Stegostoma tigrinum: one gene and its partners. The protein of the gene in region 3 interacts with the protein of the main gene of each other region in a pairwise test. Links are inferred from orthologs where the notes say so. Each region holds a gene or a part of one and is shown on either strand. Other genes may lie near its edges.

Region 1 (7,067 bases), on a different chromosome or scaffold from region 3:
GGTATGGTCAGGATTCGTTGCAGTTGTGCTTGAGAACATGGTAGTGAACTGCATTCCATCTGCTTTTAGTAGACTTACACAAGGAGGGAATTCCAGCATTTTGATCCAGTAACAGTGACGGAATGATGATATATTTCCAAGTTAGGATTGTGACTGGTTTGGAGGGGAATTTGTAGGGCGTGGGATTCCGGTGTATCTGCTGCCCTTGTCCTTTTAGGTGGAAGTGGTCATGGGTTTGGAAGGTGCCTTTGAAGGATCTGTGGTTAATTTCTGTAGTGAATCTTGTAGACAGTATGCACTATTGCCACTGAGCATTAGTGCTCGAGAGAGTGGATATGGTGCCAATCAAATGGGCTGCTTTGCCCTGGAAGGTGTTGAACTTCGAGTGTTGTTGAAGCTACTTCCATCCAGGCAAGTGGAGAGCATTCAATCATATCCCTGATTTGTGCCCTGTAGATGGTGGACGGGCTTTGGGAGGGTCAGGAGGTGAGTTACTCACTGTTGTATTCCTAGCCTCTGACCTGGTCTTGCAGCCACTGTACTAATTTGGCAAGTCCAGTTGAGTTTCCAGTCAATGGTAATCCTCAGGACATTGATAGCCAGGGTAGTGTGGATTCAGCTCCTACATCATAAGGTTTTAAGCTTCTTGAGTGCGCACATCCAGACAAGTAAGGAGTATTCCCTCACACTCCCGACTTGTGCCTTGTAGATGGTGGACAGGCTCTGGGCAGTCAGGAAGATGAGTTGCTCACTGCAATAGTGGGGATTAGTCATGGTAACTTAATTGAATATTCAAGGGGTGATGATTACATTGCCTGTTATTGGAGATGCTGTTTGTTTTGCATTTGTGTGGTGCAAATATTACTTGCCACTTATCAGCGCAAGCCTGAGTATTGTCCGGATCTTGCTGTATTTGAACATGCACTGTTTGAATATCTGAGCTATCATGAATGGTGCTGAACATGTATAATCATTGGCAATTGGCCTGTGTGGCACCTTATCAAATGCCTTTGGGTATGTAAGTTCGCCTTCAGGGCCTTGAAACATCAAGATGTCTTAGAAAAGATATTGATCAACAGCTACTTTTATCCAACTCAGCAAATTGCAAAAAGTGCACAAAGCATGAGTGAGGGCGATAGAATTGGAGGTGGTCCTCCATAGATGTCCAAGCTAACAATTCAGGAGAAAATTTCAGTGATCAGTTGTATTTTGACATTCCTGGTGATTTTGAGTCCCTTGATTCAACTAGTCTGGTGTTTATAAAGTCGTGTGATTACCAAGATTATACATTCTAACCAAGAAACACGTCAGAAGCGGAACAGGATGTAATACCAGAAGTTAGAAAAGTAGTGCAGAGGTCACCAGGTTGTCTTTCATTTCCCCAGGGTAGAGGACACCTCATTGTGATCAACAAATATAGCAGACTAGATTAAATGAAGTGCAGGTGAATTCCTGCTATCTCTGGATGTTGTGTCTAGGGTTTCGGATAATGAAGGAGGTGGTAAACAGTCAGACAGTGTACCACCTTGCATAGCATGAGAGGGCGCTGCAGTGTTGAGAGCAGAGGACAAGTGAACTGTGTTTCCTGGGGAATGGTCATGCGGATTGCTGACAGGTGTGGGTAGGTGATAGACATCTGGTGGCACCCTGACCCCCGAAATGGTGGCTTATGATGCTTCGGATATGAAGGTTGGTGGGTGTTTCTGTTTTTCAAATCTCCATCTCCCACAGTTATTTGTTGGATTATTTTTCTTGGAACCTATCCAAAGTACTCTGAATTCTCTTCCTCATGGCCATCTCTGCCAATCTGCTTTTCCCAAATCTACATTAAGATGAACAGTAGCCATGGTTAACATACTACCTTTGTTATAGCTGCTGTTTACGGACCTCTTTACTGCTGCTACCAGTGCAGCCTTCTCCTCGTTATTTCTTACCACCACCCATGTGTATCTTGTACGCTGTAAATAAAAATCATTTCTTGTCATTCTACTTTCCTGTACCAACATTTCCAACCACCATCCTTGCTTCCTGTCTGTTCCTTTGAAAAGCCATGTAGCCCTGAATATTTATTTCCCAGCTTTGAGTTCCTTGTAAATAATAATGGCTATAAAATCATACCCATTAACCTGTGGTTGGGCATACTCTGAATGTTACATGCATTCAAGATACTGTCTGTGACAAAGCAGTCCACTTGATTTGCACCGCATCCACAAATATTGAATCCCTCCGTGACTAATGCTCTGTAGCTGCGTTATGTACTGTTTGCAAGGTGGACTGCGGAAATTCGCCAAGTCTCCTTTGGCAGAACTTTCCAAATCCATGACTGTTAGGATTTAGGAGGAGAAGGACAACAATTCTAGTTGAGCACGCGTGACAACAAAATCTAATTCCAATCACTTTGGCCCTAAATACATGGGAACACCACCACTTTACAAGCAACTCACCATCCATACATAGTTGAAGATTGGAATGTGTACAATGTTGCCATGTGTGAAATGGAATCAAGAACAGTAAGCAGTTAATCCCAGAATGACAAGCTGACCAGACCTATGCCCAGTGACTCTGTGAGATATGGAGACATGCACTCTGCGCAGTAGTTTTGTGACGTGGAGGCCAGAAATGAGCACAGTAACTCCTTTTATTAAATGAAGGTGATGACAGTGTGCAGCAACTATCGTAGTGCTTTTGGGACCAAAACTCTGTAAGTGAAAACAGAGTGAATAGAAGCGAGGTAGGCAATTTGGCCTAGCAATCTGCTCTGCCATTCAACCACCATGACACCATTTTCCCACACTATCTCGGTATTCTTTATGACCTTTAATGTCCAAAAGTTTCTTGATCTGCCTTTGGAGTATTTTCAATTCAATATTTTCAATACACTTGAGTCCTCTTGGGTCGAGAATTTTGAAGATTCACCACCCACTGGGTCAGGAGTTTCCAAGTCATGTCAGTCCTAAATAGGTTGGCTGTTTTTCCTGAGACCATGTCGGCTGGCTCTTGACCCCGCTGCCTGCCAGGGGAGTGTCCTTTCTGCAACTTTCCTCCATGCTTCACTGGACTTGTCTGCCATTTTTCCAGACTCTTGAGGGCGCAGGTCCAGTTTCCTCAATTCCTGAGGAATTCCCAAGTCTCAACGTGCCAGTAACGATATGTATCTTCCTGTTTCAGTCCCTCGATGACAGCCCAATCGAGGAAGATGAAGAAGCTCTCAGAGAGGAAGATCATGATATCGACCAGTTCAACGAGGACACGTTTGGGCCTGGGGCAGTGGGTAAGTCAAGGCCTTTGCGATTTGTTCAGATGCCCACTCATTGTTCATTTTCAGATATTCTATTCTTGACTCCCTCTACCTCTGACTGCCCTTACTGTGACTGGGGTCTAGCTGCCGCTCACACTGTGACAACACAACAGTAGCAGTGTGTCTGGGCTCTGTGCTGTAAGTGCTGTTCCTGGGGATGCATACCAAGTCAAATAGAAACTACTGCTGGTGGAGGGTCATCAGTTTGGTGGAAAGCACTGATTTAACTGCTGGAAGCTTGTGAGTTTTTGACCCACAGCAGCCCCTTAGTCCAGGAACCCATCAACCCCTTTGAGAAGTACTCTAGTTATTAAATGCAGTGCAAGTATGTTGAAGCACTTACTGCAATATGCTCAATGGAGATAATGTTGAGCATTGTTGTATTTTCTGTAATGCCTTGTTTGAATTGTTTTGGAATACACTATTGGCGATTTTATGAAAAAGCTACAGTCTACAAAAGATACTTGAGAACTCAGATTTGAGGAGGTCTTTGAGTATCAGTACATTGGCTGTGTGTTATGGGTGACTGTCTTTAGGCAGTGGGCCGATTATGATTTGGGAGACTTGTATTTACGGTTGGATTGCTCCTGAATGAGGAAGTTAGCTCAGAACGAAAGCCTAAGCTCCATCTGATGCTCTTGAGTTTGGCTTTTGCAGAGGACTGGGAGGAGCAGCACGATGGCCTGGGCGATCCGACAGGAGATCCAGACGACCTTTTAAAGGAGAACAACTTGGCGGAGAGCATCAGCAAGCTGGTCATCGACAGCGACCTGGAGGACCCGGCCATCATGAGGGCAGTGCCGTCCCACCCTCCGCTGCAGGTGGGTCTAGCCTCGTGTTTGCGGTGTCACACAGCACCAGCTCTCTGTCCCTCCTTGTCCAGTTTCAGTCAGGCTGGATTTTAGAGAGACACTGCTGCTGTATGATCCCTACCTGTTTAAAAGTCTCTCACTGACCCCTGCAACTTGCTCACAGGCACCCCCTCGACTGAACTCGAGCATGTGGGAAGGGCCCATGGTGTTCGGTGGAATCGGAAATCCTTTTCTTTCCCACTTAGAGGTAAGTAGATTTGCTTGTTTATTTCACCTCGATTTCTGCTAACTGAACTTTGCTGCTTTCTTTGTTAACAGCATCAAAATTAATTTCCTGCAGCTACTGCCTGAGGATGTGCATTCCTTTGGAGAACAGTCCTTCTGCTTATTTAAAATTGGGTTGGGGGGGGTGGTGGTGTTGTGATGTTGGTGGTAATGCATGGTGTGTGTGTCTCGTTGACTCATCCCTATAAAATAGGAGGTGCAGTTCAAAAAGGGGAGCAGGAACAGGGCGTATAAATGCACAGACCATTGAAAATGTCAGAACGGGTAGCAACATCAGCAAAGAAAGCACACGTTTTCGACTTTTTATCAGGAGGGCAGGGAGTACAATAAATCAGACCTGCTGCAGATAGATTACATGCTAAAAGTGGCAAGGATGGTGAATAAAATTGTTATTTAGAATTGGTAAAGTTAGTTAAGCATTAGGATGCTTTGCTGGAAGAATGAAATTGAAAAGAACTATACGTATAGAGGTTGGTAGAATTGTGCTCTGTTCTGACCTCTTTTTAAGAAGGGTTGAGGAGCATTGGAGTAAGTGTAAAGCAAATTTGAAAGGGCAATATTTAGCTGAAGTCATCCAGTATGTGACTAATAGGGCAGGTGTTGTCCGGGCTCTGACCCTGTGATGATAGTTCATTTTCTTAGCAATATTGTTGGTCAACCTGGGAAGAAATCAAGGTGCTTTATCTGTCTGTGCACACTCAGCACCAGCTTACAACTAGATTATGGTTTATCCCTCATCCCCAGATGTGTTACTGTGGTCCTCACACTCAGTCTCTAGTCTGCAGCTGATTTAGACTGATCTCTCACCCTCAGCATGTTAGTGAAGCCCTGAAACTCAGCCCTCAGCTTATTGTTGAGGTGGTCTGATCGTACATCCCCACTTGTGGCAGGATAAGGCCCTTGCAGCCCTTTCCTAGTGTAGATGCCAATCATCAGTCAATTCAGTTCACTCCGCATAATTTCAAGAAATGGTCAGACATACTGAAGAGGCTATGGGCCCTAACAGCATTCCAGCAATAGTACTGGAGACCTGCGCTCCAGAGCTTACCACTCCCCTCACCAAGTTGAACCAAGCAGGTGAACCTGACATTAGTGGTGGGCAGGTTGTTGGAGGGGATTCTGAAAGATAGGATTTACATACATTTGGAAAGGCAAGAGCTGATTAGGGATCGTCAACATAGCTTTGTGTGTGGGAAGTCATGTCTCTCTAATTCGATTGAGTTTGAAAAGGTGACGAAGATTGATGAAGGCACAATGGTAGACATTGTCTAAATGGACTTTAGCAAGGTGTTCAGTAAAGTTAGGCATTGTCAAGTGGTTAGCAAGGTTGGGCCACATGGAATCCAGTGGGAGCTGGCCAATTGGGCTTGAAGCTAGGAGACAGAGTGGTGGTGGAGGGTTGCTTTTCAGACTGGGGGGCCTGTGACCGACCAGCGGTGAGCCACAAGCATCGGTGCTGGGTCCACTGCTTTTGAATGATTTGGATCTGAATACAAGAGGACTGGTTAGTAAGTTTGCAGATAACACCAAAATTGGGGTACTGGACAGTGACCTCAGAGTACAACAGATGGAATTTAATTTTAATAAATGTGAGGCTTTGCATTTTGAAAATACAAACCAGGGCAGGACTTGTACAGTTAACAGGAGGGCCCTGGAGAGTGTTGGTGAACAGAGACCGGGAGAAGCAGGTGCATACATGTGCATAAAAGTGGTGTCGCAGGAGGACAGGATAGCAAAGAGGGTGTCTGGAATGGTTGCCTTCATTGGTCAGTGCATTGAGCACAGGAGTTGAGATGTCAGGACATCGTTCAAGCCGTTTTTACGATACTGTGCTCAATTCTGCTGTCCCTGCTATCCAATGGATGCTGTAAAACTTAGAGTCATAGGGATGTACAGCATAGAAACAGACCTCTTCAGTCCAACTGATCCATGGCATAAGTGTGTGCTATTTCTAAGATGCACTGCAGAAATTCACCATACCTCCTTTGACTGTACCTTCCAAATGAATGGGACAGGTAGATAGCTATGAGCACCCCATCCTCAAGTTCCCCTTTAAGCTCCTCATCATCCTGACTTGAAACACACTGCTGTCCCTTCAGTGTCATTGGGTCAAAACAGTGGAATTCCATCCCTAAAAACGCTTGGACTTCTTTTTATTCATTCATTCACAGGATGACTGTATTGCTGGCTAGGGCAGCATTTATTGTCCACCCCTAATTGCCCAGAAGGCAGTTAAGAGTCAGCCACATTGCTGTGGGTCTGGAGTCACATGTAGGCCAGACCAGGTAAGAATGGCAGTTTCCTTCCCTAAGGGACATTAGTGAACCAGATGGGTTTTCCCAACAATTGTCACTGGATTCATGGTCATCATCAGACTCTTAATTTCAGCAATTTATTGAATTCATATTTCGCCATATGCCGTGGCAGAATTCGAACCAGGTCACCAGAACATTATCTGGGTCTCAGAATGACCAGTCCAGTGATAATACCGTTAGAGTGCAGTGGTTCAAGAAGGTAGCTAACCAATGCATTGTCAAGAGCATCTAGGTACAGTCAATAAATACTGGTTTTGATGTAGGAAAAACTACTGTCCCCAGAGAGCAATGAGAATCTGAAACTTGCAATCACAGACTGAACTTGGTGTGAGCAGTGTTACAGTATTTAAGGATAAG
Region 2 (7,937 bases), on a different chromosome or scaffold from region 3:
AAACGGCACAGTTTCAATTCCTTTAGCTTAAAAGCAGCTAAGTTTTAAAATGCACGAAGATGTATATTCTGTGAATATAATTTAGTTGTGTGAAATAGTATGCTATTATGACAGTATTACTTTTTGAAGCAAAGATCTATGGTATACAATATAAGTATGACAGTTAATAAATTATTAAAAACAACATTATTGCAATTTAAAGTTTATAAAATTACATGGGAATGGGTGTTAGTGTCAAATAAAGTTTTTGTAAAGGTCCTTGCATTGGGTTTTTTATTATTTATTTAATGATATGGTCTTTGGTTAAAAAGAACATTTTTTCCTTTTGATTGTTGTTACTGCATTCAGTTGTATTCTAACACAATCAAAATAAAAGACTGATAGAGCACATGTAAAAGTGTCCTGCTTTTTCATATATTTATCACACTGTGACTATTTGAACACTGTTTAAATGTCCCAGTTAATGCATGGGAAATTTGTGCTGTCAGTTCTACAAATTTTTTTAATGTTTTTAAAACATGGGCAAGGAAACCTTCAGCTGATTACCACGCCCAATCCTCCCTCAGCTGGTGATTCGGTACTCTTCCATGTTGAACAACACTTAGAGGAGGCACTGAGGATGGCAAGGGAACAAAACGTACTCTGGGTGAGGGATTTCAATGTCTTGGGAGCAGTACGACTGATCAAGCTGGTCGGCTCCTAAAGAACATAGCTACTGGATTGAGTCTGCGGCAGATGGTGAGGGAACCAGCAAAAGGGGGAAACCTATTTGACATCTTCCTCATCAATCTACCAGCTGTAGATACATCTGTCCATGACAGTATCAGTAAGACTAACCACACAGTCCTTGTGGAGAAAAGGTCCTGCCTTCACATTGAAAATAACCTCCATCATGCTTCGTGGCACTATCATCGTGTTAAATGGGACAAACTTGAACACATCTAGCAACGCAAGACTGGGCATCCATGAGGTACTATGGGCTATCAACAGCAGCAGAATTGTACTCCAGCACAATCTGTAACCGCAAGGCCCGGCATATTCCCCACTCAACCATTACCTGAAGATGAGGTGTCAACCTGGTGCAAGCCACCAAAGAGGACTAGTTTCACCCCAAACAGCAAAAGCACCAAGTGATAGAGCTAAGCAATCCCATAACCAACTGATCAGATCTAAGCTCTGCAGTCTTTTCGCAGCAATCTTCAGCCAGAAGTGCCCAGTTGATGATCCATCTTGGCCTCCTCCAGTGGTCCCCAGCATTACAGATATCAGTCTTCAGCCAATTCATTTCATTCCACCTGATATCAAGAAACGGTTGGAGACACTGTATACTGCAAAGGTTATGGGCTGTGACAACGTTCTAGCAATAGTACTGAAGATTTGAGTTCCATAACTTGCTGCTCTGCTCACCAAGTTGTTCCAGTGCAGTTACAACACTGACATCTACCTGGCAATGTGGAAAATTGCCTAAGCATGTCCTGTACATAAAAAAGCAGGATAAATCCAATCAGGCCAATTACTGCCCTATCAATCTCCTCTCAACCATCAGTAAAGTGATGGAAAGTGTCATCAACAGTGCTATCAAGCAGCCACTGCTCAGCAATAAACTGCTCAGTGACACCCAGTTTGGGTTCCACCAGGGCCATTCAGCTCCCGACCTCATTACAGCCTTGGTTCAAGGGCAAAAGAGCTGAATTCCAGAGATGAAAGTGACAGCCTTGACATAATGGCGGCATTCAACCGAGTGTGACATCAAGGAGCCCTGGCAAAACTGGAATTAATGAGTATCAGAGGCCAAACTCTCCAGTGTTTAAAGTCATACCTGGCAAATAGGAAGATGATCGTGGTTGTTGGAGGTCAATCATCTCAGCTCGAGGGCATCTCTGCAGGAGTTCCTCAGGGTAGTGTCCTAGGCCCAATGATCTTCAGCAGCTTCATCAATGACCTTCCTTCCATCACAAGGTCAAAGGGGGGGATGTTTGCCAATGATTGCATAATGTTCAGCACCATTCACAACTCCTCAGACACCAAAACAGTCCATTTCCAAATGCAACATGATCAGGGCAATATCCAGATTTGGGCTGACAAGTGGCAAATAACATTCATGCCACACAAATGCCAGGCTATGACCATTAGCAATAAGAGACTATCTAACCATCATCACTTGATATTCAATCGTTACCATCACCGAAGCCCCAACTGTCAATATCATGGAAGTTATCATTGATCAGAAGCTCAACTGGACTCACTACATAAACTCAGTGGGCCACAAGAGCAGATCAGAAGCTAGGATTACTGCAGTGTGTAACTTGCCTCCTCTCTCCTCAAAGTCTGTCCACCGTCTACAAGGCACAAGTCAGGAATGTGATGGAATATTCCCCAGTTGCCTGGATGGGTGCAGCTCCAAGAACGCACAAGAAGCTTGATACCATCCAGGATAAGGCAGCCCGCTTGATTGGCACTACATCTACAAGTATTCACTCCCTCCACCACTGACTCTCCAGAGCAGCAGTGTGTACTGTCTACAAGATGCACTGCAAAAATTCACCAAAGATTCTCAGACAGTGCCTCCCAAACCCACAACCAATTCCAATTAAAAGGACAAGGGCAGCAGAAAAATGGGAACACCACCACCTTCAAGTTCCCCTTCAATCCACTTACCATCCTGACTTGGAAATATATTGCCATTCCTTCACTGTCACTGGGTCCAAATCCTAGGGTTCCCTCCCTAATAGCATTGTGGGTCAACCCACAGCAAGAGGACTGCAACAGTCCAAGAAGGCAGCTCACAACCACTTTCTCAAGGATAACTGGGTATGGGCAATAAATGCTGGCCAGCCAGCGATGCCCACGCCTACAAATTGGAAAAAAAAAGGTCTTTAAAATGAGACTGACACATGGCAAGGGCTCTCTATGCTGCAAAAGATACATTGTTTTGGGGGGGATACAGTGCAGACGTGCTCAAGTGATACTAGAAACAGTAGGGTTAAATTATTAAGACTGGCAACATAAATGTGGTTTGCATTCTTTTGACTGCAGAAGCTTAAGCAATGGTCCAATCAACTCTTGAAAATGTTAAAGAGATTCAGGACAACAGGTATAATAAATCTATTTCCTTTAGTTGGGGATTCCAGGACAAGTTTGAGAATATTAGTAAAAAGGCCCAGAGGACCTTGAGCATTAACATAGAGGCATGGAATAAACAAGGAAATTATTATGCCTCTTTATAAACATGGGTTTGACCTCAACTTAGAAAGGGAGTATAAAAGATTTATGCAAAAGTTTCATGGATGAGGGATTTCAGTTAAATGATACAAAAGCTAGGATTAGTTTTAGAGAATATTGAGAGTTGTTTCAAGTTGTTCAAATTTGTGATTGATCGAGTTAGGGACAAATTGCTGTCATTGGTGAAAGGGTCAAAAAGCAGAGGATACTGAGTTAAGATGGTTGACAAAATAATCAAAGGCAACTTGAGGGAAACCATTTTTATGTAGTTCAGGGTTTTGATTTGGAATGGATTGGTGGATTCAATCATAGCTTTTGAAATGGAAGTGCAATACTATTTGCAGAGAGCCAGCATTGGCTTGAAGGACCAAGTAGCTTTCATATGTGCTTTGTCTATTCTATAATTTGATAAGAGGTACAATAAGTTAATGAAATGAGGAAACACTTCTTAGCTGACCTTTGTCAGAAGTTAACAAGTGATTGAGAAAACATATGGCATATTGACCTTTATTACAAGAGGATATGAGTATTGGAGTGAAGATGTCTTATTGCAATTATGCAGATCTTTTGTGAGTTCACATTTGGTATATTGTGTATGATAAAAACCAAAAAAAACTACGGGTGCTGTAAATCAGGAATAAAAACAAATTTGCTGGAAAAGCTCAGCAGATCTGGCAGCATCTGTGAAGGAAAAAACAGCGTTAACGTTTCGGATCTGGTGACCCTTCCTCAGAGCTATATTGTGTGTGATACTGGTATGTTTACCTAAGGAAGGATATGCTTGTCACAGAGTGAGTAAAACAAAGGTTCCCCAAACTAATTCCTGGGATGGTTGTTTAGTCCTATAAGAGGAAATCAGACGAGCCTATATTCCCTGAAGTTTAGAAGAACGAAAGGTGATTTCATTCAAACAGGGGAAATTCTTACAAAGCTTGACAGCGTAGATACAAGAATGATGTTTCCCCTGGTTGGGGTGTCAAGAACCAGGAGACACAATCTTAGAGGCAGGGGCACACCATTCAGGACTGAGCTGGGAAAGAATTTCTTCACCCAGAAAGTGGTGAATCTTTGAAATCCTCTGACCCATGAGACTATGGAGGATTGCTGTTTAATTATGTCCACAATTGAAATTGATAGATTTCTACATCTTAAAACAGAATCAGGGATAGTGCAGGGAAATAGTGTTGAAGTAGATCAGCTATGATCTCCTTGAAAGGCAGAAGAGACTCAGGGCTGAATGGCCTACTCCTGCTGTCATTTTTAATGCTCTCAGAGATGAGTATAGTATGCCAGGATGAAGATGGGGAATGAAATTTTCTGAGCAATATTGAGAAGGGCACAAGAAGGCTCATTAGATTTGAAAGATTAACCCTGCTTTCTCTTCACAGATGGTGCCAGTTTCTCCAGCAGTTTATGTTTGTTTCAAATCAACATCCGCAATACTTTGTTTTATTGTCACAACACGACCTCTTCCGTTAACTTTTCCAGTGTGCCCTTCGATGGTAAAATAAAGACAGCGATGAACAAAGTAAGGAGCATGCTATCCAGATGCAAATTGCTTTTTAAGAGCGGATTATTCCCTGCCAGTGTTTGTAGGTCAGGCATGACTGAGTTCAGCATTTCAGAGACTTGGGGGGCGGGTGGCTGCAGACCGGAGCGGGGATGGTAACTCTTTAACCCGAGATGGAAGAGTTTGCAACAGGGGCGTTACCTCGGTAACAGAAAGCCTCCCCGGGGAAGCTGTAGTTGATTATAATGGAAATCTCCAAGGCAGACTCAGACCGGCACCTCACACACGCTTGTCCTGATGCTTAGAGAGTGCATGGGCGAAGATGGGTTCGGGATGGTCAAGAGGCCAACGCAAGCTGATCCAGGTGAGGCCGCTACCCGCAGCCCAGGCGGCTATTTGCCCCGGAGTGCAGCGGTACGGCAGCAGCCGGGTAGACAGCTCGCTTGTGATACACGACCACCTGAAGGCAGCCTCTCTGCGCCGAGGGAGCGAACTTCCTCCCCTGAAGGAGGTGCGAAATGGCACTCACGCACTACCCAACCTCAGGCAAGGTAGGTGCAATGTGGGCTCGGAGCGGGGAGGGGGCTTGAGCAATGTCAACGTTCAGCAGGATTTATAGTATTCACTCTCTCTGAATCGTTTTTTGTTTTCACAGAGGATGATTAGCGAAAGATTCGTAAAGTTGGTGTTTTGTACAATCTCCAGATTATTTAGTTCCATTACTCCGTTGGGCGGAAGAGCAGCCTTTTACAAGAGAATCTGTTTGTGCAAATACATTTTCCATTCAGCAGCTTTTCAAGTCCATTAACTTCTGTCTCCACAGTTGATTGTAATTTCTTACAGATCAGGGAGCTCAAGGATTTGTCAGTTTCCTTGTGCATTTCACTTTGTTAATTATTATCCAAATTTACATATAACTTTAGCGTTTGTTTCGGCAAAAAAGGTCATTGGTGTTTTTGTGCTGCTAGTGTTTGACATGGCGACCTGCGAGGACGCTTGGAAGTGCTGTCCATCAGAGGAATTTTGATGTGGCAGTCCACAGTTTCTTGAAGGCAGCAGGTCGGCTGGCGAAGGAGCATGTAGGATACTTGCCTTTATTGGTCAAGGTATTGACTACAAGACCAGGGCAGGCTACGATGAAGCCGGAAGGAAGATGAGTTAGGCCGCAGCTAGAGAGCTGTGTGCAGGTCTGGGCGCCGCTCTATAGTAAGGATATGATTGCACCAGAGATCACCAAGATGTTTGAAGATAAAGCGATCCAGCTATGAAGAGAGACGAGATAGGCCCATCTCTGGAGAAGGGTCTAGGACCGAAACATACTTCCTACTTCTCAGATGCTGCTTGGCCTGTTGTGTTCATCCAGCTCTACACCTTGTTATCCGAGATAGGCTGTGTTTTTTCTAAAGATGGCTGAGGGAGACGCAGGGAACCTGATTGAGGTATACAAAGTTATGAAGGGCATAGCAAACTTTCCCCTTAGGAAGGGGGTCACTAATGGGGTGGGGAGGAGCTGCATTGGCACAGATTTAAGGTATGCAGCAGTAGATTTAAAGGGAATTAAAAAAAATAAATCACACAGGTAAGAATCATCAAAACATTTCAGAAATATTTAGATATCTACTTGAAATGCAAGTGTGTATAAGGCAATGGGCCAAATGCTGGAAGGTTGAATTGGACTTTAATATAATGCTTGATGACCAGCATGGATGTGAATGGGACAAAGGGCCTTTTCCTGTGCTGTAAAAACTGTGTGACTCTATGTTTTTCTTTATATTTTCACCTTTCAAGTACCTCGTGCCTTCTCATTTGAAAGCAGTTTGGATGATGGGGAAAGGAGCATCATCAAAAAACATCCTCCCCGAAAATTTGAGGTGAGAAGTATTTGAACTAAATTATTTTGCAGCTGTCAACATGCCGAGTCTGTTGTAAATTAGTCAAAAAGTAAGAACAGACAGAAATTCTAGCTGGTATCATGTCCTGGGAAATGACTGTCCTAACGCTCAATGGTGAGGATAGTTGGAGGCTGGATGTACACTGAATGATGTTCACCTGGAGCATGTGGAATTGAATACATGGGAATTGTACAGTAAATGGAAACTCTTGATGGGCGGTTACCTGGTCTGGAACTCACTGAAAGGCTCCCCGATTGAATTAGAACTGAAGTCTTTGGAAAATTCAGACTGGCTTCATGGAATCCCTGCAGTGTGGAAGCAGGACTTTCGACCCATTGAGTCAAAACTGACTCTCTGAAGAGCATCCTACCCAGACCCACACCTTACCCTATAAATTCCATGGCTAATCCTCCTACCCTGCACATCCTTGGACTGTGGGAGGAAACCCCAGCACCTGGAGGAAACCCGCACAGACACAGGGAGAATGTGCAAACTCCACACAGTTGCCAAAGGCTGGGATCGAATCCAGGTCCCTGGCACTGTGAAGCAGTAGTGCTAACCACTGAACCACTCTGCTGCCTCAACTTGCCTGAATATTAAGTCAGGAATATCAGATAAGTTTGTTGCAGTACTACAGTGGCCTGAAAATTTGTTGGAGCAGGATTGACAGGAGTCATGTGTAGAACCCTTGAGAATTGCCCAGGAAGTTAAATTTTCTGATGGGTGATTGTCCTGCGTCTGGACTCCTTCAAAAGAGTCAATTAATGTCAATTAATGGAGGGCTCAAATTCATTTAAGCTCAATAGTTACTCTAGAAAGGTAAAAAAAACATTTCTTTGCCATTGGTAACTATCAACTCTTCCCCCAATATCATCATTGGCACTACGACAGCTGCTGAACCCTAACATACCCAGAGTAACATCCTATACCCCTAACTTAACCCCCTTCTTCGCTGGCCTGTTATTGCCACCCTCTCCTTCACTTCACCTCTCCCATCACCCAATGTGTTCCTATTGATGCTAAGATCCATCATCCCTGACCCAAGCTGAACGAGAGATCCAACCCCACCAGCACTGCCTAAATCCCCAATCTACTTGAGCTGGTACCATCTTCCCACCCAGTCTGGCCCTGCTGGACCCAATACCGCTCCCTGACAATAACTGTTCCTCCCTGCAACCTACCATGAGCACCCTCCTGGTACCCTACCTCCCTCATTTACCTAGCACCCTATCTCCCTCACTCACCTGGCACAATGTCTGTCTTACTTTACAGACTTACTGTCTTCTCAGTTATTGTTGGTGGTTTTGGGGCCT
Region 3 (7,804 bases):
ACTTGCTAGACCTCAGCTGGAGTACTGCGTGCAGATCTGGGTGCCTCATTATGGGAAAGATGTGAATGCAATGGAGAGCACAGAAGTAATTTACAAGAATGGTTTCAGGATTGAGAAACTTTGGTTGGGAGCATAGATGGAAGAAGTTGGGATTGACCTCCTTAGAGAGAAGAAGGTTAAGAGATCCGATTGAAGTTCCCAAAATAATGAACAGACTCGATACAGTAGATAGGAAGAAACTGTTTCGGCTTGTAAAAGGAAGAAAAACAAGGGGCATAGGTTTAAAATGATTTGTAAAAGATTGTTATGCAAATAAAAACACTTCCGCACAGTGAGTAGTTAGCGTCTGGAATATAGCCAGGAAGTGGTGGGGGCAGGTTCAATTGATTCAAAACAGAAATTGCTGGAGAAACTCAGCAGGTCTAAAGGATATTTGGATAGAAATAATGTCCAAAGGGCATAGGAAAAAAGGAGGAAATTGGGAGCAGACAATGGATGCTCATTTTAAGAGCCAGTGCAGACATGATGGGCTGAATGACCTCTTTCCGTGCTGTGACATTTCTGAGATTCTGTGAAGGGTTACTCTGGTGACTTGGGCATAAAGTCTAAGTTGCCAATTGAGAATAATCCTGTCAGAGATACCATCTTGCAGAACAAGGGTTAAAATTAGGCTCTGCTTCTGTTCTAAGGTGGGCATAAGAGATTCCATGGCAACAACCTTGGTGTCCTTGCCACTGTTTCACATCACAAGAAAAACATCAGCCAGTCGTTATTACATTGCTGTTAATGAGGAGTCTTTTAAGTGCAAGTTGGTTGTTTGGCTAAACTTCAAATGTATGTCCATCTGTAAAATACTTTGGGATGACCTGAGATTATAAATAGCGCTATACAAATGTTTGTCTCTCACCTGACAGCTCACGTACAGAGTTGTAAAACTGTCAGATTTAGTTAATTGGTATTCTGAAAATTAGGGTGTAACTTTTGTCAGGCTAGCGAAGGAGCAGATCACCTGAGCATTCCCTCATCATTCAAGGGCAAAACAAGAATAATCTATAGTGCATTATCCATCTCAGGAAGAGTGTTAATGGGGGCCAGTGTAGTTCACCTCAGTGTTTAAAGGTTATAGAGGGAAAAATAATCTTGGTTCTAATACTCATCCACTACAGTCCCGGGTCACATTCCCGACCCGCGGACTAATGTTAATTGACCACTTGCGTATAATGCTGTGGAAAACTAGGGGAAACAGACACTTGTTTGAAAAGTGACACAGCAAGTATACATTTCCAGTCAGAATCTTTGATTACCAAAAATAATTGCCATTTGAAGCCTCTAAATTTACATGGAAATCTATGTATTGCCGAATATGTCAAACGTCTCAAACTATTTTATATATAAATCCCTTTTGGAACTTCAGTGAATATTATTATCTAGATATTAAAACGGTGATTTTTTTAAAAAAATCCTGAATTGTAGTACCGAGCCGTTCAAGCAGTTTAATCCAAACTTGAAATTTGGGGGTGGGGTTTCTTTTCCTGGTGGAATATTGATTGAACTGGTATCAAAAGCCCAAACTGTCAATGCATTTTTTTCGCCCATTCATAGTAAACGTGTGTGTTAACTTGGCGCTGGAGGAAATTATATTTAAACCAGGGTCTACCAGAGACCCCACCGAAATCACACATTTTTCACATTGCTCTGAAACTAGTTACAGTTCGTTTGTACTCTCTACATTTTCCGTGGGAAGGTGACTCCCAGAGTATGTGCTACACTCAAGAGAGAGGTCTGCTTTAAGAAATTAATTATTTCCAAACCACACTGTCTTGCTTTTATTATGGCTCCGTCAATTCCCACATCTTCTCGCCATCCCGATCCACTCAGCAGATCTTTTTCCACTTAAAACTGGAAGTAATTGTGTTCCAATTTGAAAGCTTGAAACGTCAAGCGAAATTGACAAATTCCTCCTTTGCGTCGCAAACGTTTCAGATTGCATGGATAATTCTAGATTGCATCATAGCAGGGCTTCGCCATTCATTAAAATCCACAGATTTACTGAAACGTCTAAACTGCGGAGTTTCTTTGGACCTCAAGCGATTAGCTTTTGACAATGTCTTTGTATCAAATTGCGCCAAACCGCTGAGGAAAAGGGAATGTCCAGGATGAATGCTGGGCTGGTAACCTAATACGAAATAGCAGGATAACGGGAGCGAGGGGGAGAAGCACTTTCAGGACTCGTAAAACTGTTGAAAGTCGATGTATATCGCTTCACTTTCAAAAGAAAAACTCTGCAATTTGCAAAGCGACTCCCCTCTTTAGAACTTGTCTCTGGAGTCCCACAGCTCACATTTACTCTGTAAATGTCAATCAGTGGGTGTCTCAGTAACAGTGGGCGCATGTGCCCTGATTAAGGCAGTTATACTGCAGTTTTCCTCAAACTGTAGCAGTTCAGTTCTGTAGTGTCTGAGTGTTGATGACCTGAGACGCTTAATGGCATTTTGCTTAAAATACGACCAATTGCCCTGAAGCGCCAAAAGGGTAATTGCAGTGGTCAGGAACAGCAAAAAGACAGGCGACCCTTTAAGTGCAGTTGTAAACTGTACATTCCACATAAAGTCGAAGAGAAGCTGCCAACAAAATGTGCAGTTTCTTCTCCGCTTTAATCTACGCATAACGACGGCCTCAATGACTTTACATAGCCAGGGGAACCACACTGTAGCAGGGTATAATCTGCAGGGCAAAGCACATTCAGGGAGCTTTAGAAACACTACCTAAAACACATAACTCCAGGTGGTTTCCTAACAGAGAGTCAGAAGCTGCACGAGCGGCGCTAGTAACAGTAGATTGTCAGATATCAAGAGAGTAAAAAAATTGGACACTTACCAACTGTATTTTCAATGAACTCAGGTCAGTGATCAAAGCACTGCTTTAACATAAATGCTTCAAAGGCACACTGTGCTGAAAAGCTTTGTCTTGCTTTTTCCTGCTTGGGAAGTGGTTAGAGTTCTCCTGACACAGTCTGCAAGAGAAGCAGGCTTGGCTCTGACGGCTCTGGCAGAACAGAGGGAAGATTAGGGGCCCAACAAGTACAGGAAGTGACTCACGGGATCCCGCCCTGAAAACCCTTGTATCCAAGCCAAGGTTATTAGCAAACAACTAACCATCTCTGAGCCTCCTTCCACTGACTGACGCCGCGAGGTGTGACTAAATGGCACCTTGGACCTATCGATCACTACACACTGATAACACCATCAACACCTACTCAATCCGCCCATTATAACAAAGTGATCATATCAAAGAGGCAACTGCTGCAGCCTGGTCCAAGATAAACGAAAGAAAGGTGAATGCTACTTCCTCCTGAAGAGAATCGCAGCTGGAAAGATCTGGTGCCAACCTTCCCGAGAACTAAATTATGTGTTTTATCCCCTGGAACCCTGGTGATTTATTCCTATTCAACACAAAATGCAGTAGCTTTTGTACCTAGGGCACACGTAACCTATTTCAATATGAATGAAGTCCTAATGATGTCACTAATTTACACTATGAACCAGCAGAGGCAACGAGTGCTTCTATACAAGTAAGATGAGTGAAATCTGAAATTCAAACGGAAAATGGTTAGAAATGTACAAGTTTGTCAGGAAGATTGAACAAGACTAAGATCTGGGAGCACATCAGCAAGATCCAGTCAGGATCCCTGCCTGATGAGTCAGAAGCATATCCGGTTTCTTCAGACGCTGACCAACTGGTTGTGCCCTTTCATTTTGTAAAACATTTCAAATATTTAATAACAGTTTACATACTTTACATGGAGTAAAGGAAACACAGATGTAACTGGCAAAAATGAGCTCCAAACCAAACAAGCCCCATTGCATTGATTTAAAATAGAGACGTAGAAATTTGGCCAATTCTAAGCTTGGTGCATTGCCCTGTGCCCAAATGATATAATCCCAAGGCAACCTAAACCCCAGGCATCAGGCTAACAGTGCCAATGAAGATGAAACCGAGCCAGTTCTCCAACATTGCAGTGACCCTCAGGTAAATGATGGCAGATCTGGTTGGGTAAAGAAATGCCAGGATCAATTACTGTTACATGTATCAGAGATAATGGGAACTGCAGATGCTGGAGAATTCCAAGATAATAAAATGTGAGGCTGGATGAACACAGCAGGCCAAGCAGCATCTCAGGAGCACAAAAGCTGACGTTTCGGGCCTGGACCCTTCATCAGAGAGGGGGATGGGGAGAGGGAACTGGAATAAATAGGGAGAGAGGGGGAGGCGGACCGAAGATGGAGAGTAAAGAAGATAGGTGGAGAGAGTATAGGTGGGGAGGTAGGGAGGGGATAGGTCAGTCCAGGGAAGACGGACAGGTCAAGGAGGTGGGATGAGGTTAGTAGGTAGATGGGGGTGCGGCTTGGGGTGGGAGGAAGGGATGGGTGAGAGGAAGAACCGGTTAGGGAGGCAGAGACAGGTTGGACTGGTTTTGGGATGCAGTGGGTGGGGGGGAAGAGCTGGGCTGGTTGTGTGGTGCAGTGGGGGGAGGGGACGAACTGGGCTGGTTTTGGGATGTGGTGGGGGAAGGGGAGATTTTGAAACTGGTGAAGTCCACATTGATACCATTAGGCTGCAGGGTTCCCAGGCGGAATATGAGTTGCTGTTTCTGCAACCTTCGGGTGGCATCATTGTGGCAGTGCAGGAGGCCCATGATGGACATGTCATCTAGAGAATGGGAGGGTGAGTGGAAATGGTTTGCGACTGGGAGGTGCAGTTGTTTGTTGCGAACTGAGCGGAGGTGTTCTGCAAAGCAGTCTCCAAGCCTCCGCTTGGTTTCCCCAATGTAGAGGAAGCCGCACCGGGTACAGTGGATGCAGTATACCACATTGGCAGATGTGCAGGTGAACCTCTGCTTAATGTGGAATGTCATCTTGGGGCCTGGGATAGGGGTGAGGGAGGAGGTGTGGGGGCAAGTGTAGCATTTCCTGCGGTTGCAGGGGAAGGTGCCGGGTGTGGTGGGGTTGGAGGGCAGTGTGGAGCGAACAAGGGAGTCACGGAGAGAGTGGTCTCTCCGGAAAGCAACTGTTACATGTATGTTGGGAGGAGGGAGTGGTTGCTGGGGCATGTTGAGAGGTTAGGTTTTATATTGGTGGAGAGTGCCAAAGGTGAGTGACAAGGAGGCTAGTGTTGGAGGCCGAGGCGAATCTGAAGTGTGCCGAGTGGAAAACTTTCAAAATAAAAGGCGATTGGTGGTGGTGGGAGGGGGGCGTGGGTGGAGCTCTAGGTATAAAGAAAATTAGACTCTGTGTTCAAGCAAATAAATTTGTATAAATAAATTTGGTTGTATGCAGCCCCAGGAGCTGATTTTACTGAATGTAGGCAGAACTGGGCAAAGCAACCTGCTGTGGGAATTTCAAACAGAGTGAGCACCACACCAACCCCCAGCTTGCTTTGAAATTAATTGCCCGTTTCAAGCATATGCCCTGAACACATTTGCCTCACCAATCTGCCTGGAACAGACATGCACACACGTTTCCAGCTGCTAAATTAGAGATTGACTGAGCTAGTTTTGGCTTGGAAAATGGGTATCATATGGTTGAATTCATCAGTCAGTATGCCCAAGATTATGTCACAAATCATAAATCCCACATCAGATGTCGTGTGTTGCTACAAATCAAAACAATCTTAAATATTTAATATTTCTAAGTTGCTTCCTGAAACTGAAAAATACATCCAAAAGTTGCATGATCTTGTGAATTATCAATTTACCTGTTCCAAGCACTCATTTCCTATCTCCTATCCTGGCTGTATTCCACGCCACTAAGTACCTCCCTGGCCCATTTTCCCAAACATTTCTTGATCTGTATAAAAAAACGGAAGAACTGCGGATGCAGGAAGGGGCAGCCAACCTGAAATGTTAATTCTGTTTGTTCCTTCACAGATGCTGCCAGACCTGCTGAGCTTTTCCAGCAAGTTCTGTTTTATTTCTTGATCTGTCCTGGCACTGCTTTCCAAAGAGATTTCCAAACTATTTACATTCCCACCCAGAGTGAGTGTTTCCCAACTGTAGTTATTCATTCTGAGATCTTGATATTCACTAGTCATCCCAATGTGCACTCTTCCTAGTGTGGTGGCTTACTCTTCCACAACAACTGAGGGCCCTCCTTAATGCACACAGTCTCTTTTCACCTATCAAAGAACTTGTACCTTCCTGCCAACACTCAATCTGACCACAGTTCCATCAATAGCTTTCTTCAGAATTCCCAAACCCCAGTACTCGTGTGCAATTGATCTCCAAAACTCTCCCAACTGCCCACACTTCCTGAATCCATCCACCGCCCATCCTCATTGTATCACAACTATTCGTATACACTGTGTCTTCCCTCCTGGTGCATGTAGGTCTTGCCATTTTCCCAATGATTGCCTCTATGAGCCAAGACCCTCCCTCGAGGCAAAGCTGAGCATCCCAGACACCCTGTCTAGTCAGTACTCCATTCACACCAGTGTTCCCTTCGCCGCTGCCCACCCTCAGTCATGTCTCAGCTTGGTGTCTTTCTGGCTGCAGTCTCAAGTCTCTCCACCACCCCCTAGTGGTGTATTGCAATGGTAGCAAGCTGCTAGCCTCAGATTCGCTGACAATTCTGGACACGCTGGATATTTGTGCCAGAGGAGATAATTATTGGAGATATTGGCTGAAATAATTCGATGAAGGCTGCTACCCTGTCATCAAGTCACCCTGTATTTACATGTGCATAGTACATGAGACTGGCCCAACTAGTTCAGAGCCAACTCCTAGAGTGAGTAGAATCCATAATACTCCTGTTTATTTATTTGCTTTCTTTCTTTTTTTTCTCCCCTAAGAACATTAGGTGACCATTTTGCTCTTTTTGACAAACAAAGCACTCATTTTTCTCGTGTCTTCTTTTGTACAAATTGTGCACCTTATATTGTTTGGTTGTGAATTTTTGGAGGACATGCAACAGCCTTTCTACTGACAGAGGATCCAGCAACAGGAACGTCAGGTGAAAACTCTCTCTCATGAAAGGTGTGTTTTCTGCTTGTTTCTTGGTGTCTTGTAGCCCATTCTGTCTGGACAGTACAGAGTGAAAAGGCAAGGGAGTTTACAATGATGAGTTTTCTTCCATTCATAAACTGTACATAGATCAAGTGTGTGTTGATGGTATCCTGTTACCAAGTCACCCCTTACTTACATGCACATAGTACAAGACACTGACCCAGCCTGTTCAAATTCATGTCCTAGAGTGAGTAGAACTCCTGACACTCCTGTTTATATCTGTCAGCCAGGACTCCCTGATTGGCCCAGATTTACAGCCCCAATCAGGGAACACATTCTACAAGACCCACCCAGTTGACTGCATTCCAATTACTACACTGGCTAGGTACTACATTCAGTTGCCTCCCCCTCAACATCCTACTGAATGACAAAGTTTTCCCAACAGGCCTCCAACCAGTGGTCTCAACCCGCATGGATTACATTTAAATTATGCTCAATATTTCCACTTTTGAGAAAGAATTTAAATAAAGGCCACCAATATAAAATAGCCACCAAGACATCTAGAAGAAACCGCAATACCCAAAGAATGGTAAGAATGTGGAACTTGCTACCACATGAGCAGTTGAAACAAATAGCATACTACCGATGGTTTTAAGTGAGAACTACTCAAGCATTTGAGGAAGAAATGTATCATTTACGGCTGTAGATTTAGATGAGGAATTGGAGGAGGCTCAAATTGACTATAAACGTATGGACTATTTGCACCAAATGGCCTCTTTCTGAGCCATATATACTGTGAACTTC
Region 4 (8,112 bases), on a different chromosome or scaffold from region 3:
CGGGGACCCTACCCTCTGCTGAACCTATTTAACAAGGATCTCTCTCTCTGCAGTAGCTCAAAGCCTGCTATACGACAGGTACAGTTCATCACAGGGAAAATTAATGTCTGAAGTAGAGCTCCACAGTGGGTTAAAGATGCCAAGACATCACCCGATGTAAAGCAAGGAGTCATCGCGTTCACATCCCTCCATCTCCCATCAAAAGTTGGGATGAAAGAGAAAATCACAATTAAATTTCAATGCTTTGTGGAATGTGGCTGTGCACAAACAGACCCAAGGAAATACATTCTTGGCTAAGGAGAACACGATAACAATTGCTTAGCTCACACCTTTGGTAAGAGAATTAACCAAAGGAAGAAAGATTAAACATATCAAGCCCACATTTCCTGCAGATGAGAAAGAGGAGATCTCACTGGAACGTGCAAAAACTCTCAACAGGATGGGTACTGAGAAAACGCTTCTGTAGTTAGAAACACGAGAACACTGGGTCATGGTACCCTCAGAAGGACTTTGGACAGAGATAAGGAGGAACGTCATCAAAAGGGGTTGCACACCTTCGGAATTCTCTAATACAGCTTGGATCCTGTGAGACTGAGTACATTCAAGAAAAAACAAAACAAAGGTTCAATAGATTTCTGTGTATTAGGGGATAGGCTGGAAATTAAGGATTACAGTAACAAAGCAGCCATGATTTTAGGGACAACAGAGGAATTTTGAAAGGTCCGTCAGCAATTTTTGTTTCTTATACGCACTCACCTTGATATAACTCCTGCTTTTGGAACATTTGAAAGCAATGTAATATGTGAAGGTTGCTTTTTGCTGCAATCTTTCCAGACCACTGTTTCTTCATTTCATCACAACTTGTTCAAGACACCCAGCATAACGTCTTAGAGCTGTACAGCATGGAAACAGACCCTTCCGTCCAACTCGTCCATGCTGACCAGGTATCTTAAATTAATCTAGTCCCATTTGCCAGCTTTTGACCCACATCCCTCCAAACCCTTTCTATTCATATACCCATCCAGATGCCTTTTAAAATGTTGTAATTGTACCAGCCTCCACCACTTCATCTGATAGTTCATTCCACACATGCATCGCCCTCTGCATAAGAAGTTGCCCATTAGGCCCTTTATATCTTTTAGCTCTTGCCTTAAACCTATGCCCTCTAGTCGCCAACCTGGGGAACTTGACTATTCATCCTAACCATGCCCCTCATTATTTTATAAACTTCTATAAGGTCACCCCTCAGTCTCCGATGCTCCAGGGAAAAAGCCCCAGCCTATCCAGTCCCACTGTATAGCTCAAACCCTCCAAACTGGGCACAATCCTTGTAAATCTTTTCTGAAGCCTTGCGAGTTTCATAACATCCTTCCTATAGCAGGGTGACCAGAACTGAACACACTATTCCAAAAGTGGCCTAACCAATGTCCTGTACAGTCACAACATGACCATCCAGCTCCTATACTCAATGCACGGAGAAAAGCAGGGTGTACCAAACACCACCTTCACCACACTATTCTTACAGCCTTGGCTCACCAATAAAATGGGCATCCAAAGAAATTACTTTGGCAACTTACCTATTGCTCCCTGGGGAGTTACAAGGTCAGACCACATCTTGATCTCTTCAAACTTGACCTTTATTAACTGGACACGTTTCAGTTTGTCCAGAGGCAGCTCCCTCAGGCTCTCCACTGAACTGAAGAAGACAGTCTGCAGCAGCGCTCCAGCTTCCAAGGCATCGGTTATCAATCGCCGACCCTCCACCAGGATCTTCCCGTGCTGCTCACGGAACTTCTTGGACTTGGCGAGGGTCACAACTTTTCTATTGGAAGGAGAGGCCAATAATTAAGTTCTAAACAGAGAAAAGGGAACTTTCAAATGGTTATGACAGAGAAACTGCAATCCATCAGGCTCAGTGTTTACTGGCAATAGCCTAATAAACACAGTTGCTGCCCTAATGGCAACAATAACTCTCTTTTTACCCTTTAGCAGACCCAGAGTCAAGACTGATAATCATTCAGTAAATGGATTGTTTGGGAACCAAAGATCCAAATCATCAACTCCTCTTACAGTCAGAAGGAAAGGAAACACCAGAGCTGACAGCAATTAACCAAAGGCTACTCCACACAGATACAGTGGCTCCATTCAGCTCCAGCTTTTCAAGGGCAACATTTTTACTTTGACAGTAGTGCTCTCATTCCATGAGAAGGGGGCGGGGAGAAGACCATTCAAGTCAGGGATGCCCAACAGGCCAGAATTACAGAATGATGGAAATCGTGGCGTGTTATGTGGCTGGAGAAGGTTACAGATGTCGGGAGGGATGACACCATGGAAGGATTTGAAGATAAAACAGAGAGAAAACAAAAAAAAAATCGCAGGCGTGGATCAGAAACAAAAACTGCTAGGACCACTCAGCAGGCCTGGCAACAAGCGTGGAGAGGAAGCAGAGTTGTTTCCTCGGCTCCAGAGACCCTGCTACCATAAATGCGTTTTCCTTGTAGTTTCTGTTTTTGTTATTAATAAAAAGGAGATGTTGGAGGACCAGGAGCTAGTGCTGGGTGACGGAGTACCGGTAACACCAGGAGAGGCTGTGAGGAGGAATGGGGTGGGGGGTTGAAGGGGAAAGACTCCAGGTTTCGGGCTCCCCTCGCGTAATTCTCAGCGCTATTTCTTACGCTAGCCGCTTGTCGCCGGGAAACGCCTTTTCGTACGACAGTCCGTCCAGGGAATGGGGGCCGAAGGGCGGCCGGGGCTGGCCTCTCGGGGCCGGCTCAGGGTTCCTGGCCACCGGGCCGCGCTGACTCCCGGCCACCGGGCGACTACGATCCTCTCCGGCCCGGCCAGCGGCTGCGGCCTCCTCATTCTGGGGATACAGAACCTCAATCGGCCTCCTCCTCAAGACCCGGAGATGCCGAGCCCCCGGGATCAAAGCAGCTCCCCACCGGGGAACGTTGCTCCAGAGCGCCGCCATGACAGCTAGGCGGGCACCAATGCGCCTGCGCGGCCATGTAACAAACCCCTGAGAGTCAGGTGACCTCTATCGGTTCCCCGGGGTCACATGACCTGTACAAGTCTCGCTGCTCGTTCCCAGAACCAGTTCAAAATAACACATTACCTGAGGTAGAGACCGTCAGTCGTTGTGGCGTTTTATCAATTTCTACTCGAGAAATAAAACCAATCTGACTGCAAATTAAAACACAAACAGATTCTAAGCAAGGCCTCATACTTAACATGCATTGTCTCTCCTAAAGCGTCACCTCTTCATTACACTGCCTTCAGTTATCTCAATTAAATCGATTAAAATCTTCTCATTGATTAAAGATTTAACAGCATCTTAGGTTTGTTTAGTACATCCTCATCAATGGTGTGACCCTTTGATCTTTTACTTATAAATTCTGTGCCTGATACTACGTCTCTCACCAACACCTGAAAAAGGAGCGCTGAAAAAGCTGCTGTTTTCAAATAAACCTGTTGGACTATAACCTGGTGTCAAGTGATTTCTGACTTTGTCCACCCCAGTCCAACACCAGCACCTCCACATCAAGCCTTGCCAGTAGGTACCATTTCCACTTTAAAATTGATAAATATCTGCAACTGATCCGGGGCCCTAACAGATACCTTTGCAGTGTCCTTAGACACGGGTGAGGTCCCAGAGAAATGGAGACTTGCTAATGTTGTCCCCTTGTTTAAAAAGGGCAGCAAGGATAATCCAGGTAATTATCGACCGGTGAGCCCGACGTCAGTAGTAGAGAAGCTACTGGAGAAGATACTGAGGGATAGGGTCTATTCCCATTTGGAAGAAAAGGGGCTTATCACTGATAGGCAACATGGTTTTGTACAGGGAAGGTCATGCTTTACCAACTTAATTAAAGTCTTTGAGGACGTGACAAAGTTGATTGATGAAGGAAAGGCTGTAGATGTCATATACATGGACTTCAGTAAGGCGTTTGATAAGGGTCCCCATGGCAGGCTGATGGAGAAAGTGAAGTCACATGGGGTCCAGGGTGTGCTAGCTAGATGGATAAAAAACTGGCTGGGCAACAGGAGACGGAGGGTAGTAGTAGAAGGGAGTTTCTCAAATTGGAGACCTGTAACCAGTGGTGTTCCACAGGGATCTGTGCTGGGACCACAGTTTGTGATATATGTAAATGACCTGGAGGAAGGTGTAGGTGGTCTGATCAGCAAGTTTGCTGATGACACTAAGATTGGTGGAGTAGCTGATAGTAAAGGGGACTGTCAGAAATTACAGCAGAATATGGATAGACTGGACAGTTGGACAGATAAATGGCAGATGGAGTTCAATCTGGGCAAACGCGAGGTGATGCATTTTGGAAGATCTAATTCAAGGGCGAACTATACAGTAAATGGGAAAGTCCTAGGGAAAATTGATGAACAGAGAGATCTGAGTGTTCAAGTCCATTGTTCCCTGAAGGTGGCAACGCAGGTCAATAGGGTGGTCAAGAAGGCATATGGCATGCTTTCCTTCACTGGGTGGGGTATTGAGTACAAGAGTTGGCAGGTCATGTTGCAGTTGTATAGAACTTTGGTTCGGCCACATTTGGAGTACTGTGTACAGTTCTGGTCGCCGCATTACCAAAAGGATGTGGATGCTTTGGAGAGGGTGCAGAGGAGGCTCACCAGGATGTTGCCTGGTATGGAGGGTGCTAGCTATGAAGAGCGGTTGAGTAGATTAGGATTATTTTCATTAGAAGGACCGAGATTGAGGGGGGACCTGATTGAGGTCTACAAAATCATGAGGGGCATAGACAGGGTGGATAGCAAAAAGCTTTTTCCCCCCCAGAGTGGGGGACTCAATTACTAGGGGTCATGAGTTCAAAGTGAGAGGAGGTAAGTTTAAGGGAGATATGCGAGGAAAGTTCTTTATGCAGAGGGTGGTGGGTGCCTGGAACGCGTTGCCAGCGGAGGTGGTAGACGCAGACACGTTAGCGTCTTTTAAGATGTATCTGGACAGGTACATGGATGGGCGGGGAGCAAATGGACACAGACCCTTAGAAAATAGATGACAGGCTAGACAGAGGATCTTGATCGGCACAGGCTTGGAGGGCCAAAGGGACTGTTCCTGTGCTGTAGGTTTCTTTGTTTGTTTCTTTGATCGAATTGAAAAGAATTTGAAATCTGTTTTACTGACATTTTTGACTACTGCATCCCCCTGAAATGTCATTTCAATTTGATTTGTGATGGTTCCTTTGTATTTTTGGGCTTTTGGGGAAAGAACATTTGTCAACTTTTAATTGATTAAAAAAATCCCCATCAGTCACAGCGTTTGGTTAGCTCAGTGGGTAGACAAGTGGTTTGTGATGTAGAGTGACTGCCAAGTGACCTGTCCTAAGATTTCAGCTCATGAACCACTTGGGAAATCCTGTCTTAAATACATCCATGCTATTTGTCTCAACTATTCCCGCTGATAGAGTTCTACATTCTCTCCACTCTCTAGACAAAAGTTCTTCTTACTGGATTTAAATAGACCTTAAGTTTTGATCTCTCCGATGAGTGGAAGCAATTGAGCCTGTTCCAAGGTGGGATCTGAGCTCATAACATCTCACTTTCCCCCTGGAGCAAGGCAGTTATGCTAATCTAGCTGCCTCGAGGTAAAATTAGCTTCTCCATATCTGTTGCAAATACTGTTAACCTTGGCTCCTTCTGGGCTGGATAAATGAGCCCGTGTTCACATTGCTGAGTGTTATTTAATGTTAACTATCATGGGTTAGAGATCGTAGTCTAGCTATTTCCTGAGGTATAACATGACAGGTCATCACAAATGTTAGGGTAATATTTGAAGCAAAACCAGAGATCCAGCGGAAGATACTTGTTATTGATTTACAGTTGTTGGTAATATACATTTCTTTTACTCATTCATAGGATGTCAGCTTCACTGAGTGGGCCAGTATTATTGCGCATCCCTAATTGCTCTGGAGAAGTAAAGGTGAGCCCTCTTCTGGAACTGCAGGCTTTGTTTTTGGAAGGGGAAAAAATTTTCCAGTTTTGCTAGGGAGGATTTTGACTCAGTGTCAGTGAAGGAACAGCGATATATTTCCAAGTCAGGATGTTGCGTCGCTTGGAGGTGAACTTGCAGGTGGTGATGTTCCCATGAAACAAGTGTCCTTGTCTTCCTAATGGTTGTGGGCTCAGAAGGTGTTGCCTGAGGAGCCTTAGTAATTGTTGCTGTGCAAACAACACTGCTGCTACTGTGCGTTGCTTTTGGAGGGAGTAAATATTGAAGGTGTTGAATAGGGTGCTAGCCAAATTGGCTGCTTTATCCTAGGTATCTCAAACCTGTTTAACTTTGCTGGAGTTGCACCCACTCAGATAGATGGGGATATTTCTGTCACCTTCGGGATTTGTACCTTGTAGATGGTAGACAGGCTTTGGGGAAGTCAAGAGGTGTGTAATTCACCACAAAATTCCCAGCCTCTAACCTGCTCTTCTAGCTAGCATTTATATGGCTAGTCCTGTTTAGCCCTTGGTCAATGATAAGCCCAAGATATTCATCCTTAGTCGCACGACATTATCCTTGAACTAAGCATTTCACTTGTTTTCATTCCTCAAATAGTTTCACGTTAATAATTCGTCCACCATGTGATGGTCTGATTAGGACACTCAAGACAATGGTCTGGGCTGACACCTTCTCTTTCCCATCTTTACATCTTCCTCTGGAACTTTCCACTTGAAACATTCCCAGAGTGAAATGAAAACCCAGAAGAACTGTGAATGCTGGAAATCAGAGACAAAAACCCGAAGTTGCTGGAAAATCTCAGCAGGTCTGACAGCATCTGTGGAGAGAAACAAGTGCGAGCGTTTCAGGATCGATGATCCTTCCTTATAAATGACCCCGATGGGTGTTTCTAGTACATGTGACTTTATTTCAGAGTTTGGGAAGCTGTTTGCTTCTTGTTTGTTTCCCGGAGGGTAGAACCGATAACACTGAGATTACAGCCGTTTGAACAGTTAACTTCACTCGACGAGATCCAGGGACATATGTAGCAAAGCGCGGTTGGATCACGTGATCGGTCGATCACATGATCAATCGGTCACGTGAGGCACGTTGCAGCTTCATCCCTGGCCATCATGGTGCTGGGAAGGGCGCTGCATTTTGTTTTTAAAGTGGGAGACCGGGCTCGGACTGCCAGATTTTACAAGGATGTTCTGGGCATGGTTGTGAGTTTGCTGTTTCTAATTCTACTCTTGTAAATCCGAAGGGAATGCTTCAGCATCATTTGGGCAGACAGCCCCTGTGTTGTGTGACCCTAAGTGCTCTGTCCCCACTCAGCCTGTTTGACTTGGAGAGGGCTGAGTGGAAATGGTGCCTTTTCAGTTATAACTGCAGCCACTGCAAAATAAAATGCAAGTTAGGCCTGTTCTATCCTCGCAGAGAAGGTGCGGGGTGTAAAGGTTTAATCTCTATGGTTGGGTAAATGATGTGTTCAGAAACTGCGTTTACACGACCTCCAAATGTTCTGTGCAGCATTTCAATGCCAAGGGAACAGCTCTGGTTAAAATTAAGTGGTATGGCAAATTGCTGACCTACTTTATCTGGGCTGTAAGTAGTACTGACTAAAATGATAAAGTCCCTGTTTTATTTTAAATTTCACAGACTACAGCTCATGCAGAAACACAAGGACTTCTTTTGATAACAAGGTGTGAAGCTGGAAGAACACAGCAGGCCAGGCAGCATCAGAAGGGTCCAGACCTGAAATGTCAGCCTTCCTGCTCCTCTGATGCTGCCTGGCCTGCTGTGTTCTTCCAGCTCCTCACCTTGTTATCTCAGGCTCCAGCATCTGCATTTCCTACTATCTCTGTGTTCTTTTGACAGTGTACAGTTAAACTCAAGGTCCTGCTAACCCAAGCCTAAATTCAAAGTTGCAGATCAAAATTACTTTTCACAAACCTACAGTTTTAAAAATAAAGGCCTGTATATAACCAAATACAGTTTATACAGGTAATGCAAGTGCAGGGGGATCCAGAGGTATTTGTTCACTAAGTTGCAGGTGGTAAGATAGGGTGAGGGGGGAGAAAATGGCATCTAGGATCATGAGCTTTTTTTTTTAAAATGAAAGCCTGGAGTATTATTCAACATTATAGCAAAATGGTGGT

What was found.
Region 1: the proteins of fhl3a (region 3) and patl1 interact in binary tests that used the Homo sapiens proteins (3 or more experiments, as listed by UniProt). The two-hybrid records come from large-scale screens. The link is inferred for Stegostoma tigrinum from reciprocal best matches to the Homo sapiens genes FHL3 and PATL1.
Region 2: the proteins of fhl3a (region 3) and uncharacterized protein CCDC198-like interact in binary tests that used the Homo sapiens proteins (3 or more experiments, as listed by UniProt). The two-hybrid records come from large-scale screens. The link is inferred for Stegostoma tigrinum from reciprocal best matches to the Homo sapiens genes FHL3 and CCDC198.
Region 4: the proteins of fhl3a (region 3) and mrm3a interact in binary tests that used the Homo sapiens proteins (3 or more experiments, as listed by UniProt). The two-hybrid records come from large-scale screens. The link is inferred for Stegostoma tigrinum from reciprocal best matches to the Homo sapiens genes FHL3 and MRM3.

The regions. Positions count from the first base shown.
Region 1 is NC_081399.1:4,433,063-4,440,129, reverse strand, and holds the start of patl1 (protein PAT1 homolog 1), read left to right. Parts: upstream 1-3,977; 5' UTR 3,978-4,086; coding exon 4,087-4,119; intron 4,120-4,273; coding exon 4,274-4,357; intron 4,358-7,067. UniProt on the Homo sapiens protein: RNA-binding protein involved in deadenylation-dependent decapping of mRNAs, leading to the degradation of mRNAs. Acts as a scaffold protein that connects deadenylation and decapping machinery.
Region 2 is NC_081363.1:49,545,161-49,553,097, reverse strand, and holds the start of uncharacterized protein CCDC198-like, read left to right. Parts: upstream 1-4,937; 5' UTR 4,938-5,054; coding exon 5,055-5,283; intron 5,284-6,520; coding exon 6,521-6,603; intron 6,604-7,937. Other genes in the region: slc35f4 (solute carrier family 35 member F4), read left to right, coding at 1-31. UniProt on the Homo sapiens protein: May be involved in tuning the metabolism, energy expenditure, and excretion processes.
Region 3 is NC_081377.1:18,276,136-18,283,939, forward strand, and holds the start of fhl3a (four and a half LIM domains protein 3), read right to left. Parts: upstream 3,095-7,804; 5' UTR 2,878-3,094; intron 1-2,877. UniProt on the Homo sapiens protein: Recruited by SOX15 to FOXK1 promoters where it acts as a transcriptional coactivator of FOXK1.
Region 4 is NC_081380.1:39,307,117-39,315,228, reverse strand, and holds the start of mrm3a (rRNA methyltransferase 3A, mitochondrial), read right to left. Parts: upstream 3,019-8,112; 5' UTR 2,972-3,018; coding exon 2,676-2,971; intron 2,093-2,675; exon of another isoform or gene 2,018-2,092; coding exon of another isoform or gene 1,983-2,017; intron 1,823-1,982; coding exon 1,578-1,822; intron 1-1,577. Other genes in the region: glod4 (glyoxalase domain-containing protein 4), read left to right, coding at 7,087-7,176. UniProt on the Homo sapiens protein: S-adenosyl-L-methionine-dependent 2'-O-ribose methyltransferase that catalyzes the formation of 2'-O-methylguanosine at position 1370 (Gm1370) in the 16S mitochondrial large subunit ribosomal RNA (mtLSU rRNA), a conserved modification in the peptidyl transferase domain of the mtLSU rRNA.